2 linked regions of the Nothobranchius furzeri genome follow. The protein of the gene in region 2 purifies or fractionates together with the protein of the main gene of each other region. This does not show direct contact. Links are inferred from orthologs where the notes say so. Each region holds a gene or a part of one and is shown on either strand. Other genes may lie near its edges.

What was found. The genes of interacting proteins can lie anywhere in the genome.
Region 1: the proteins of crkl (region 2) and GRB2-associated-binding protein 1 purify together in Homo sapiens (affinity purification with western blotting; 3 studies listed by BioGRID and IntAct, with this or other methods). This does not show direct contact. The link is inferred for Nothobranchius furzeri from reciprocal best matches to the Homo sapiens genes CRKL and GAB1.

The regions. Positions count from the first base shown.
Region 1 is NC_091742.1:87,971,734-87,979,387, reverse strand, and holds the start of GRB2-associated-binding protein 1, read right to left. Parts: upstream 4,585-7,654; 5' UTR 4,224-4,584; coding exon 4,149-4,223; intron 4,118-4,148; exon of another isoform or gene 2,718-4,117; coding exon of another isoform or gene 2,697-2,717; intron 1-2,696. UniProt on the Homo sapiens protein: Adapter protein that plays a role in intracellular signaling cascades triggered by activated receptor-type kinases. Plays a role in FGFR1 signaling. Probably involved in signaling by the epidermal growth factor receptor (EGFR) and the insulin receptor (INSR).
Region 2 is NC_091746.1:46,866,927-46,873,460, forward strand, and holds the end of crkl (crk-like protein), read right to left. Parts: intron 4,398-6,534; coding exon 4,263-4,397; 3' UTR 2,506-4,262; downstream 1-2,505. UniProt on the Homo sapiens protein: May mediate the transduction of intracellular signals.

The DNA.
Region 1 (7,654 bases), on a different chromosome or scaffold from region 2:
TTGCATTACTTTAAGTTACTTTCACCAAAACAACTTCAATATAAATCTGGTCATGTGACGCTCAGTGAGCTCATGACATATATGTGGAAAGTGATGTGGTGTCTGAGCTAGGATTGCTGTTAAAAACAGTCAGATATAATAACAGTGCTTTAAAATGATTGTTTGTTAAATAAAAGCAACAATGATCTGTACTCTCAGCACGCTGCCATCTTAGATTAGCTGAGCAGGGAGTGAGGTGGTGGGGGCTCCAAGCCTATATTTGCCTTGGTCCCCAAATGCCTTGATACGGCCCTGGATGTGGGACTGACTTCTGGGGTGATCTGATTCTATCACATGTATAAATATTAAATGCTTATATATTATTGCTTTTCACTGGTAAAAATGTGTGTTGGGGATAAATCTACCTACTTTTTTCTTTTCAAGCACTTTGTTTTGTTTTCTTGATTTTATGTGAATAATTTCCTGCCCTTTCTCTCTCTAACCTTCCTGCATGCTGCATGTTTTCTCCGTCTTCTAGAAAAACTGTAAACTAGATTTCCTAGTTTCTAACTAATCAGCCAAAGGGATCTACCGAACACAAAAATAAATAAATAAATAAATAAATAAAAAAAGCTTTGCGCTGCACTCCAGCAGCAAGGAGTTGAAATCACCGGTGCACAGATTATGAACTCAGCTGAAAAGTACATGAAGTACCAGAGAATATGGGCTGATATAAACCATCGCAAACGAATTACTTTGTTTTGGTGGAGCGATTTTGTGAATATAATAGCGGCCGCGCGCAGGACGCAGCTGGAGTGTTTGAGCCATTACCACTGCGTCCTCTCTGCTCATAGAATGCCCGCAAAGCTGAGTCCATAAATGACGTCATATATGTGGATACTGGATCTTTTTTCAGGCTTCCCGCAATTAGAATTTTTAGGAAACCCGCATCTAGATTCTGGGTTTAAAAATGCATTGTAATTACCGCGTTACTGACAATTGTACCGAGTAAATATTACCATTTTCTTTCCCTGTAATGCCTTACATTACCACATTACAGCAAAAAGCAATGCATTACAGTAGTTAATTACTTATGTACCGCGTTACTCCCAACACTGATTGGGAGCACATAAGAAATGCTTGCGTGGCCGTGCAGCTACGGTTCTGATGTATTTTTAGAGGTGCAGCTTGACGACAACGATTCATATTTAGAGCATGAATTAACCCTTTGATGCATGAATTATGAAATCTTCAACCAAGATTTTTGAAACAATTGTTTTTCATACATATTTGGGTGTGAATGAAACAAATTTCAACCAATATTTTTTATAACGTTGAATAATTTACAAATAATTTCTTACATGTCCACCTCAGTTGTACCGAAATATGTTGGCTTGACTTACTGAAGTCCAAATGGAGGAGCTCAAATTCATTAAAGTCTTCAACAGCTGTGCTTAATGGCAAAATTAAATAAATAACAATTTTGAGTACCTGTCCACTTTAGTGACCGTTATGCATCAAAGGGTTAATATTCCCCAACTGGGGGCCTTTGAGCCCAAATGGTTAATTTTCTTTAACTCGTAATTTTTTTTTATTCAGTTATCACTTACTTTTGATTCTCTAATGAGTTGTATATGAATTATTTATTTCTTTTTTCTATTTTGTTTTTATTTTGTGTGTTATGTTTTAATTGTATATTAATTAGTTACTATGCTCATTTAATCTGTTTTTTTCTTGTTTTTTTCTTTCTTTCTTCTCCTTAGCCATCGTGTTCAGTATAACATCTTGCCACTGGACTACAGTTGAAAATTAGCCTGCTGGCTAACACTGGCACATTTACAGTAACGTATATTAATGTGCACGGTCCTTAAATAAATAAATGAAATGAAATAATCAGGGCTGCATGGTGGCGCAGTGGTTAGCACTGTTGCCTCGCAGCACGAAGGTTGCAGGTTCGAAACTCGGCTGTGGCCTTTCTGTGTGGAGTTGGGTGTTCTCCCCATGCATGCGTGGGTTTCCTCCGGGTACTCCGGTTTCCCCCACAGATCACAACATGCCCTATAGGTTATACATTGTAAGTCGCTTTGGATAAAAGCGTCGGCCAAATAAATAAACATAAACATAAGGCGTTACCCCCCCACCCCACAACCCCCCACCCTCCCTGAGATGTTAGGAATAACAAGGGTGATGTTTTAAGTAGATCCTGATTCTAATCAACAGGATCAAATATTAGCGTTCTCCGTGCTTTCTCCGCCTGTTTCCATGAACATGTCTGACTTTAATATTCATGCATAAAAAATAGTAATTTGGTTAAAAAATAAAAACACTGTTGAGACTGGAGAGGTTTGATGACAGATGAGTTTTGATCCGAGCAACATCAGCAAACCACATAAAACTTTATTTCTAACCACTAAACTGAACCAGAGAATAAAAAAAGTTTAAAAAGCGCTTTTTAAAAATTATTCTGTGAAGAAGTGTTCTATTTTTGATTTAATCATGTGAAGGCGACATATTAGTAATAATAGAGATAAGTTATTTTCCTGCAGCGATCTCCTCTGGTTTCCTGATGTTTGCTCCTTTGACCTTTGACCTCAGCCGGAAGCAGCTACAATAGAGTTAAAATATCTCTTCCCTTTTCCTGCCTCCAAACTAAAATTACCCCCAAAAGAAACATCTCCTTATTTAGATGAACCCTCTACATGTCGATTCTCTCTCACCAACTTTAGAGCCGAGTCCATGAAACCTCAGACGTGACGTCGCCATCAGACTCTCAGAGGGTGGCTGTGGCTCACTCATTTATCGATCCCGAAAGTCATGGAGAACTTTTAATGGTTCCATCACAGGATGAAGAATAAAACTCAACAATGTGAAATCAGACTTGTTTACATTTGAAAACAAGTTTCAGGTCAGCTTCCCTCCCGTCAGACTGTCATAAACGCATCTGTGACGCGTACACCCGCTGACGTCAGCGACGTCACGTTTACGCTCTCTCCGCGTTTCCAGATGCCCTAAAAGCTTCCAGGCAGGCCCAGCTGAGAGCGATTAGTTTATTACGCAACACACACTCTCTCACACCCGAACGCACTTTCTCCTACACACACACACACACACACACTGCTTTCGACAGAGCAGGGAGGTTAAGAGGAGGTAGGCTGCAGCAGGAACTTCATCCACATTCTTTACAGGAACACGTGGAGGCTGCTGCAGCCTTTAGGGCCGCTCGAGTCTGGTTTTATGGTGTTGACAATGGAAACATAGCTGTGTGTGTGTGTGTGTGTGCTAGATTGTACATGCGAGGACTAAATCTTTTTTATGATGTCTTCCTCTTTGGTTTCCCCTGCTGACCGCCTGTCCTGTCCAGTGGTTCCCTCCTAAAAACCTTTTCCTGCAAACATCTCTGAAACCAGCTGATTCGTTAGAAGCATGCTGGGATGTCCCATATCTGAGCTCGTTTTCTCTGAACTGAAGGTTTCAAACAGCAACGCTACTAAAAATAGATCCCTCTTGCTCTGATTTAGTCCTCCTTTACTTTCCGTACAAACAGAGAAAGGAAGGCATGTGACCAAAGGAGAGGAAGAGAGAGTACAACAAATGAAAGAGAAAGAGTGATGGAAGAGTAGACCGCAGACATTGTTCTGCTTCTCCCTGCAAACGGGAGGAAATATGGAGGAGAGATGAGATTAGGTCAAGTCACGGGGAAGGCATGTCAGAAATGTGGTGTGTGTGTGTGTGTGTGTGTGTGTGTGTGTGTGTCCGATCCAGCTCTCTGGCATCAGGTGTTGGAGATTTGAATTTAAAGATGCAGAATGAACTTTGTGTCGTTTCCACTAACCGTTGAGTTAACTGTTAAAGATTTACAGTAGGAAATGGAAACCTGGTGCTGTGGATCCAGATTTAACAGTTTGGTTTATTATCAGCAGACAAAAGTTAGATGAGAACGTTTCTGGGTCTCAGCTCAGCGGCTGCTCTCTGCTGGACGTGTTTATTGTTTTACAGTCATGGCTTTAGGAAATGACTCACGTCCACGGTGACAGCACACCGATGATGATTAAAGTTAAGAAAAAATACTCAGATGAGCATCCATCAACACCAGTCCAGTGCCGGTGGAGTGTGTTTAATCTAGTTAGAAATAAAGAAATAGATGAGTTTTTGAAACTGAGAGGACTCACGTATCTCCGTAGCTTCTTCTCTGGTGGGGATTTCCTCAGCCATCCTTCACACACCACATCTGCCGCTCCGCTCATCCTGATGTTTCTGGTTAGTCAGTCACCCTGTCAACAGCCGGTCGGGAGTCAGATCAGGTGAAGATCCCGTCTGAATCCACAGACTCAACCAGCAGAACCTCGCACCAGACTCCAGCCGGCAGGAGTTTGAATCAGAAGAACCCAAAACAACTCAGGACCTCAGATCAGCTCTGTCCTCACACACGTTTCCCTGGCTGAGAAGAATCCTGTTTGGGAGGAGCTCATCCACACACACACCAGAGCTGCTCCGCGTCTGCTGACTAACGCAGTCACACCTCCTCCTGAGAGACTTATTTCCCAACAGAATCACTCCTCCCTCCATAACCAAACACAATCCCTCAGCTCAGACATTCCTTCTCTCCTCTCCTCCCTCTCTTTGGCTCCTCCCCTTCCTGCTCACTCCCCCTATTCTGTTAGACAGGAAAAAAATCCCCCCCCCCCCCATGTGTGAGGAATGGTTTTCAAACAAAACTTTCAGTAACCGTCGCCAGTTTTCAGGTCTTCTGATGCAAAAAACTAAATCCCGAGTTATGAGAACGGACATTTTTCAATGTTTTTACTAAATTTTTCTGAGAACTGTCGAAACCCCCTTGATGATCGATTGTATGTTAAAATAAGTTTTCAATACAACAAATATCAGGCATCATTTTGTAATATTATACCAATATTTACCACAGCCACCACTCTGTGATAATTACTATTAAATGATTACATTTCATAAATAAACTATAATGTTTTTTTCTTCCACATCATTCATCAGCGTTCCCCTGAGCTTTACACTCACACACACTGAACCGTTTTTATTACCAAACTCATAACGTTCATGCACAAGCGCCTCTGCTGTTCTGCCCTTAAAACAGACGCAGGTTTAGTCGTGAATCTCTGGAGCTGCGCACTTACCATACCGACTGGTTTGTGGACTGCTGCTCCACATGGGAAGACAAAACAATAGAACTAATGACAAGGAGGCGAACGGGGGGTGACTCTGGGGGAATGCCCACCCTCTGGAGAACACCCTGCATTGCTCCAGTGCCCAAAAATAACCGGGCACGTGAGCCAAATGACTTCCAAGTAGAGGCGCTCGCATCACACCTAAGGGTGACCAGATCCCAACTTGGCACACGTGGGACAGAGACAACTCAAATATGGGACAACGTTAAGCTCCACTTTAATGAGAAAAAACAAACACACAAAACGTATATTCTGCCTTTTAGCCCTAACATCACTGTTACATATACATACAATGATTATTCTTATTATTAAATATTTCTTGTATATATTTCATTTGAATTCAACATGAAGAAGCATACAGCAAAAGCTTTACTATTTCACTGTTCCCCTCAAGTTACCACATTACTCAGTAGTGGCTCTGATCATTTTAATAACATAGATCGGCCCACAATAATAAAAAAATGCAGGTTTAAGCAGCTTTTCAGAGTTTTCATTGAATGTTTTCCACAACAGAATGACAGTAAAAGTACCCGTAATATTTTTTAGATCTTTTTATGTTTGTTTTAATTAATTTTCCACTAACATCAGCATCTCATTAAAAAAAATATCCATACTTTTTTGCCATTTTTTTCTTAATTCAGAAACAAAACGTTTTTTTAAACATGACAACAAATCTCTTCTAGATTTTAGGTGAGATAATAAACATCAAATTCTAATCTGTAAAAAGTCAGATCTAATCTGCAGGGAGTGCAGAATTATTAGGCAAGTTGTATTTTTGAGGAATAATTTTATTATTGAACAACAACCATGTTCTCAATGAACCCAAAAATCTCATTAATATCAAAGCTGAATGTTTTTGGAAGTAGTTTTTAGTTTGTTTTTAGTTTTAGCTATTTTAGGGGGATATCTGTACAGGTGACTATTACTGTGCATAATTATTAGGCAACTTAACAAAAAACAAATATATACCCAATTCAATTATTTATTTTTACCAGTGAAACCAATATAACATCTCCACATTCCCAAATATACATTTCTGACATTCAAAAACAATACAAAAACAAATCAGCGACCAATATAGCCACCTTTCTTTGCAAGGACACTCAAAAGCCTGCCATCCATGGATTCTGTCAGTGTTTTGATCTGTTCACTATCAACATTGCGTGCAGCAGCAACCACAGCCTCCCAGACACTGTTCAGAGAGGTGTACCGTTTTCCCTCCTTGTAAATCTCACATTTGATGATGGACCACAGGTTCTCAATGGGGTTCAGATCAGGTGAACAAGGAGGCCATGTCATTAGTTTTTCTTCTTTTACACCCTTTCTTGCCAGCCACGCTGTGGAGTACTTGGACGCGTGTGATGGAGCATTGTCCTGCATGAAAATCATGTTTTTCTTGAAGGATGCAGACTTCTTCCTGTACCACTGCTTGAAGAAGGTGTCTTCCAGAAACTGGCAGTAGGACTGGGAGTTGAGCTCGACTCCATCCTCAACCCGAAAAGGTCCCACAAGCTCATCTTTGATGATACCAGCCCAAACCAGTACTCCACCTCCACCTTGCTGGCATCTGAGTCAGACTGGAGCTCTCTGCCCTTTACCAATCCAGCCACAAGCCCATCCATCTGGCCCATCAAGACTCACTCTCATTTCATCAGTCCATAAAACCTTAGAAAAATCAGTCTTGAGATATTTCTTGGCCCAGTCTTGACGTTTCAGCTTGTGTGTCTTGTTCAGTGGTGGTCGTCTTTCAGCCTTTCTTACCTTGGCCATGTCTCGGAGTATTGCACACCTTGTGCTTTTGGGCACTCCAGTGATGTTGCAGCTCTGAAATATGGCCAAACTGGTGGCAAGTGGCATCTTGGCAGCTGCACGCTTGACTTTTCTCAGTTCATGGGCAGTTATTTTGCACCTTGGGTTTTCCACACGCTTCTTGCGACCCTGTTGACCATTTTGAATGAAACGCTTGATTGTTCGATGATCACGCTTCAGAAGCTTTGCAATTTTAAGACTGCTGCATCCCTCTGCAAGATATCTAACTATTTTGACCTTTCTGAGCCTGTCAAGTCCTTCTTTTGACCCGTTTTGCCAAAGGAAAGGAAGTTGCCTAATAATTATGCACACCTGATATAGGGTGTTGATGTCATTAGACCACACCCCTTCTCATTACAGAGATACACATCACCTAATATGCTTAATTGGTAGTAGGCTTTCGAGCCTATACAGCTTGGAGTAAGACAACATGCATGAAGAGGATGATGTGGACAAAATACTCATTTGCCTAATATTTCTGCACTCCCTGTATATATATACATATATATATATATATATATATATATATATATATATATATATATATATATATATATACAGATATATATATACAGATATATATATATATATATATATATATATATATATATATATATATATCTGTATATATATATACAGATATATATATATATATATATATATACCGTATA
Region 2 (6,534 bases):
CAGCTCGTGTTGAATTACCATCCTAGTCTGGCATGCCTCCCCAGCAGAAGGCAGGAAGGTCTGCTGCACTGTGAATGTTTTATGAGAGATAGAAACAAAATCTGGGACACACACAAAGCTTCAGGGAGCAGAGCTGCAATAGAATTTTCTAGAGCACATGCAGCGACATAGCTTCATACCACTGTGCAAAATGCTTACAAAGAGACATACACATCATGAAAAGTGACGACTGTTTCAGTCGCTATATTTCAGCAGTCATTATGATCAAATAAAATGTGTTTTTTATAGTTATGGTTATTCTAAACCAAGATCGTCCTGTCTCTCTTCACCTGTTGCTTTTAGGATCAGTTCTAGAGAACAGATGGGGTCCGTTTATGTGCTCGAGTTTAAATGGCAACACAAATGTGCTTCACATGACTCATAATGTAGTCAGGGCTTTTCCCAGATTTAACTCATTTCAGATGTGTGGGCAGTGGCGTGTCTAGATCTATTAAAATGGGGTGGCCCAGGTGAGGCACAACTTTGTGCATGGGTGGCACCAATGGTTATGCTTTTTTTTGTTTTACCCTCAAGCCTTTTGTAGACAATGAAAAGCCTATTTAAAGGGAAATTAGTGTGGTGGCACCTGGGGTGGCCAATTAGATTCCAAGGGTGGCATGTGCTACCCCAGGCCACTCCCTGGACACGCCCCTGTGTGTGGGTTATGTACTCACTTATCCATCGATTCTGTGATTATTTGAAAAAAATTACAATCATATAACATGTTGCTTCTGTGTAGAACTGCATTATCAGATTTGTGGAGGAAATGTCAAATAGTATTTAGATTATGATTTTATAAATCTGGTTGTCACATTTTAACTTCCTCGGTTTTTACAAAACTGATGCTTCTCTAAAAACTTTACTAAAAATCAGCCACCTTGATTTAAAGGAAGTTTAAGGTCATTCAACAGTTCTTCCATAAACACAAACTCTTGCAGCATTCTTCCTACAAGAGTGAGATGATTATTTATCCATTTTACACTTTAATTTCGGAGATCCCGTCTTTACATGCAGATATATTCTCCATTAATACTTTAAAGCCCTTTTTTAAACTGGGACACACTCTAAACCATCTGGCACCGAAGCTGGCCTAAAAGCAGCAATGCTAATGGACTGTAGAAAGGCCATCATCGACCTCAACACAAATCCATTTACATACACATTAACACACACAAGCTGCGCCTCGAGGACAAGTCAGACTCGGCTAAGTTTGATTCATTACGCTCATTTACACAGGAGCCATGACCAATCACCTGCTGCCCATAGGAATACATTGATTATCTTTGATGACAAGCGTGTATACTGAATGCATTAAACCCTATGGTTTACATACACTTAATTATAGTTACCAAAACATTAGAATTAAACTTTTTTTTCTCTTATCAGAAAAAAAGCAGTTTTAATTATACTTGAAGGACTTTTGTGGACCAGAATTAAGGTTCTGATTGTGAGCCATTAACAGTATTCCTGGAAAGCCCAATCAATAAGCTGCATGATAGTGCACATGCAGACGTTCTACTGTAGCCTAAGGCAGGGAGAGTGGAGGTTATGTCAATGGTAGGATCCCTTAGTCTTCCACACAGACAATCATTTGACTTCAAATTATTGACCTTTTCATAGGTACACTTGTTCATCTGCTTAAGACAACCATCTACAGTCAGCCAGCTCAATGCATTCAGGCATCTAGAGGTCATGAGCAAATTTTGTTAAAGAAACAGGGTCTACAGAGAGTGAACAGCAAATGGGAGCAGACTGGTTCTGTATGAGAGAAAGGCACCAGCAGCTCAAATAGGCACCAGTTCAAGATGAGGTCAACAGTACAGCACACGTTGAAGCAGCAGAAGACCACTACTCCTGTCAGCTTAGAAGAAAACGCAGGCAACGATTCACAAAGGTTCATCGAAACCCGACCACTGAACACTGGAAAAACATTTCCTGGTCTAATGAGTATCATTTCAGCTGCAACTTCAAGATGGTTGCTGCAGAATTTAGTTTAAAAAGCATGAATCCATCCTGCCTCATCAAAGCATAATGCTGCTGTCGGTGTAATGATGCAGCAAGGACCAGAATCTCTGCGTCTAGAATCTCTCCTTTAGTCTACATCGTGAGAAATTAGGGCAGTTCAGAAGACAAAGTGGGTCCAACTCCGTACTAGCGAGGTTTTTGTAACAAACTTCTAGAACCTACAGCACATCGCTAACATCTGTCCCGGACAAACAACTGAAACTCTGCCCTTGAAAAACTTGCCATTCTTCATCTCTGGGTCAGCTGATGTTCTTTTCTTAGCACTTCATTAAAATTCATTAATTGCTTCCTTTCTCCTGGGCCCAGGCACTCTAAACTGGAACTGTCAAAAATGAGAGCAAATACAACCATCCTGCACTCCAGAAACACAACAGAGGATGGCTGCAGACACCCATCTGTGCAGCACAAACAAGCTAATAGGCAAGAGCAGAAACACACAGGTTAAAGAAGTAGACATACTTTTTATTTAATTGTTCTGTACATAAAGGGTCAATACCAGCACAGGTGTTAACCATGGGAAATATTAACACATGTAAATGGCATAAGAAAATAAAAAGGCACAATTTTCAGTTCTTAAGTAAAGGACAGGCTTTCCTAGAATACGAGGCGAGAGCACGTAATACTGTTAATGTCTTTATGAAATAACTGGGTAGCGAGAGAAAAGCAAGTTCACCTCAGGTAAGGAAACTATCAGCGTGTATTGCTCGATTAGAATTTATTAATTTTAACATGAAAAACCCACTCGGATGTCCACGCATACCAGCTAGAATTAAAACTTTTATCCAATAAAATATAACAAAAAGCAGCTTTTCGTCCAGGTGAACCGTTTCCTCGGTCAAGAGATCATGCACGTAGGGCAACCAGCAGGCATTTTTCCCTTTTGGAAGTCACTTTAAAAGACACACGTACACAAAAAAACTTTTAAAAGCACAATTTAAATGCCAAGTCTGACCACACACACGCACACAAATTAGAGATGGAGAGGGAAGAGACATTTTACGTTAGTTCTGTTCAATCTTGAGGTCCTGCTGGTTGTTGCACAGTAAGAAAGACGTGCACAATCCGAGCTTTTAATAACATTTAAAATAGTCAGTCTGAGATGGGCTCTCATGCACTGAAAGCAGAAGTCTTATTCAGAAGGCATTCGTGGGATTTCATTGGTTTGCTGAACATCTCGCTTACCCTGGCGCCCGTCACCAAAAGGAGCATTTTAGACTTTAGTCGTTTCTGGAGGGAAAAGCTGACCATATTACTAATGACCCAGGCAGAGGCTTGGCACTTAGAGGGACAAAGTTGGTTTTGGTCACAGTAACTCCAAAAAATGTCTAACTAATTTTAAAGAGGTACTGTATGGCATTGAAGTTTTCAAGATAAGTAAAATCAATTTTTTGATCAGATGGCACAAACAAAGATAGCAATGGAATCAACACAAGGACATAAAAATGGTGGCAAATTATGGCAAAAAACTGCAGAAATGCCTTTTCTTCTCAATCTTTTTGATTTTACGGATAAAAATAAATTAAAACAGAAATGAATCAGTCACTCATCAACTCACAGCCAAACGTGTGTGGTACAACAGGGTCTTGATTTGGGGGGGGGGGGGGGGGGTTACTGGCTGGTCAGCTCCTCGTTGGCCCAGTGCTCTAAAGGTTACACAGATAATGCCTTTTCCCTTGCAACACACACACACACACACACACACACACACACACACACACACACACACACACACACACACACACACACACACACACACACACACACACACACACACACACACACACACACACACACACACACACACACACACACACACACACACTCTCCAAGACTTCTGACAAGACAAATGTTCAGGGGGAGAGAGAGAAAAAAAAGACATATCACGCACGTGCGCACACTTTTACATGCAAAAACGACTGATGCCCAGTGATGTTCTGGAAAACAAAACTGCCCTCTGTAAATACGACAGAAAGATAAAATGAACTAAGGGACAATAGTTCATGTTTTCGTAGAGCTCTGGTGTCCACAGCTGTAAACGGTCAGAAAGCCTTGCCACAGCTGGCAACATGAACAGATGGGGTCACCGTCATAGCACAGCCCCCAAGCAGGCAGGAACATAATGGCGACACCGCTGGGGAGAGGCAGACACGGCCAGCTGCTTCAGGTACGTGTCGAGAGGCTTCAGCTCAACTCCTGAGTCAGTCACTCTCATCAGGATTCAGGGGATCTATAATTTTGACATGGGTGAAAGGGAAGAGACCCCTTCGTCCATTCACTTCGCCTTCCCACTGGCCGCTGATGTTCATTCGTGTCACATTAACAATATCCCCGACCTAAGGGAAGGAGAGACAGATTTCATTAATATTTTACACAGAAATATAACTAAGCTTAAGGGGAGCAAAGATATCTCAGTGGGACGGGAATAAACACATTTTCAAACTGTTGTTACCTAGAAAAAGGAGTTACTGCGTTTCAAATAGCACCAGCAACAGAGGTTTTGTTTGCTAGGCTGTTAGCAAGGGAACCATCAGAGGAATAAAACATTTAGAACAACTATCTATTAAAGTATATACAGTGGTACAGAAAGTATTCAGACCCCCGTCAATTTTTCACTCTTTATTATATTGCAGACATTTGCTAAAATCAAATAGAATTTTAGACATTTAAGCAGATTTATTAAAAAAGACAAACTGAACTATCACATGTATTCAGACCCTTTGCTCAGTATTTAGTAGAAGCACCCTGTTGAGCTAATACAGCCATGAGTCTTCTTGGTAACGATGCAACAAGTTTCTTACACCTGGGTTTGGGGATCCTCTGCCATTTTTTCCTCATTAATTACAAACAGCACATCATATTGACCGAAAAACAAATAATTTAAAGAATTTAAGCAGATTTATTAAAAATGAAAAACTGAAATATCACATGGTCCTAAGTATTCAGACCAGGTTTTTTATTTACCAAGAATTTTCATGTCTCAGTGGGGCGACGGTGGCAAAGGAGTTAAGTGCTCGCCCCGTAATCAGAAGGTTGCAGGTTCGAGCCCCGCTCAGTCTGTCGTCGTGTCCTTGGGCAAGACACTTAACCCACGTTGCCTGCTGGTGGTGGTCGGAAGGACCGGTGGCGCCAGTGCTCTGCAGCCTCGCCTCTGTCAGTGCACCTGTGGCTACATTGTAGCTCATCCCCACCAGTGTGTGAATGGGAGTGTGAATGATTGTGTTGTAAAGTACCTTGAGGGGTTCCGGGACTCTAGAAGGCGCTATATCAAATACAGGTCATTTTAACATAAAGCTCTGGTACGCCTGTTTCAGGGGGTAGAAGGTAGAAGTGAGCCACAGCAGAGGTGAGCTTCAGACAGCAGGATTTGGAGTCTTATTTACTGATATTTGAACATCTTGACTCTGCTTGGCTAACAGCAACGTGACTTCACCTCTGACTTTGTTTACTTTGTAACGTTGATGCTTTATCACCACAAATAACACAAAGTCGGAGAAGTTCTGCTGTATGGTGGAGTTGCTAATGCTAACGGTTAGCTTCTACCGGCCAGTAAGTTCTCTACCTTCTTCTGGACACTAAACCAACAACAGCCTCCCCTGTTACGAGCCAAGATGGGGCAGTATGTGAAGGCTAACTTGACATGATGACACGATGTCACTGGCTTCTCCCATTTGAGCGTTGACCTGTATATTTTCTATCAGTGGCTAATGGAATGGAAATAGGGGTTGAAGAATATCTTCACAGCTTTATGCTTATATGCTTTAGCTTGTATGTAGGTCTGCAGCTATCGAATATTTTAGTATTCGAGTATTCTATCTTATCTTACATCGATTAATCGAGTATTCTATTAGATGATGTTTCAAGTGAAATGAGATCATGGTCTGCTGCTAAAAATATGAAAATAAAAAGCAAAATTATAAAAGGCTCAATAATATATATTAAATTGGTGTTGTCTAGTTCCCCCTTTCCCAGCTGATATTTATAGTTAAATATTTTATGGAACAACATTTAACTTACATTTCATTCACTATTTAAGTTTGTATTTACCTCATTCTAGTCAAAAAACATATATAAAATATTCACATATAATGAGTAGAATGTGATTATTTCATTAACATGTTCAGTAGTAAGCTACTAGAAATGCTAACATTAAATTTCTACTTGTAACAAAGTACTTGTGGTATATTTATTTTATTATGTATGGGTTGGCAACATAATCTAGTCTAAATTGCATTGAAATGTAAAAGGGTTAGCGAATTATATGCTACAACGGCTTGCCAAAGCCTTCTGCGGCAGACGGAGCAGACTCGTAGCAACAACCAGACGGTAGTTGCAGAGGCTTTGCCCCACACAGCTGCAGAGATCCACAAATAAATGGGATGGTGGGGATTTTTCTTCAGCTTGTGGAGTTTAGTCATTCACAACCATCACGTTTTTTTCTGAACCACACTTGCGTGTGAGAATGCTACCCAC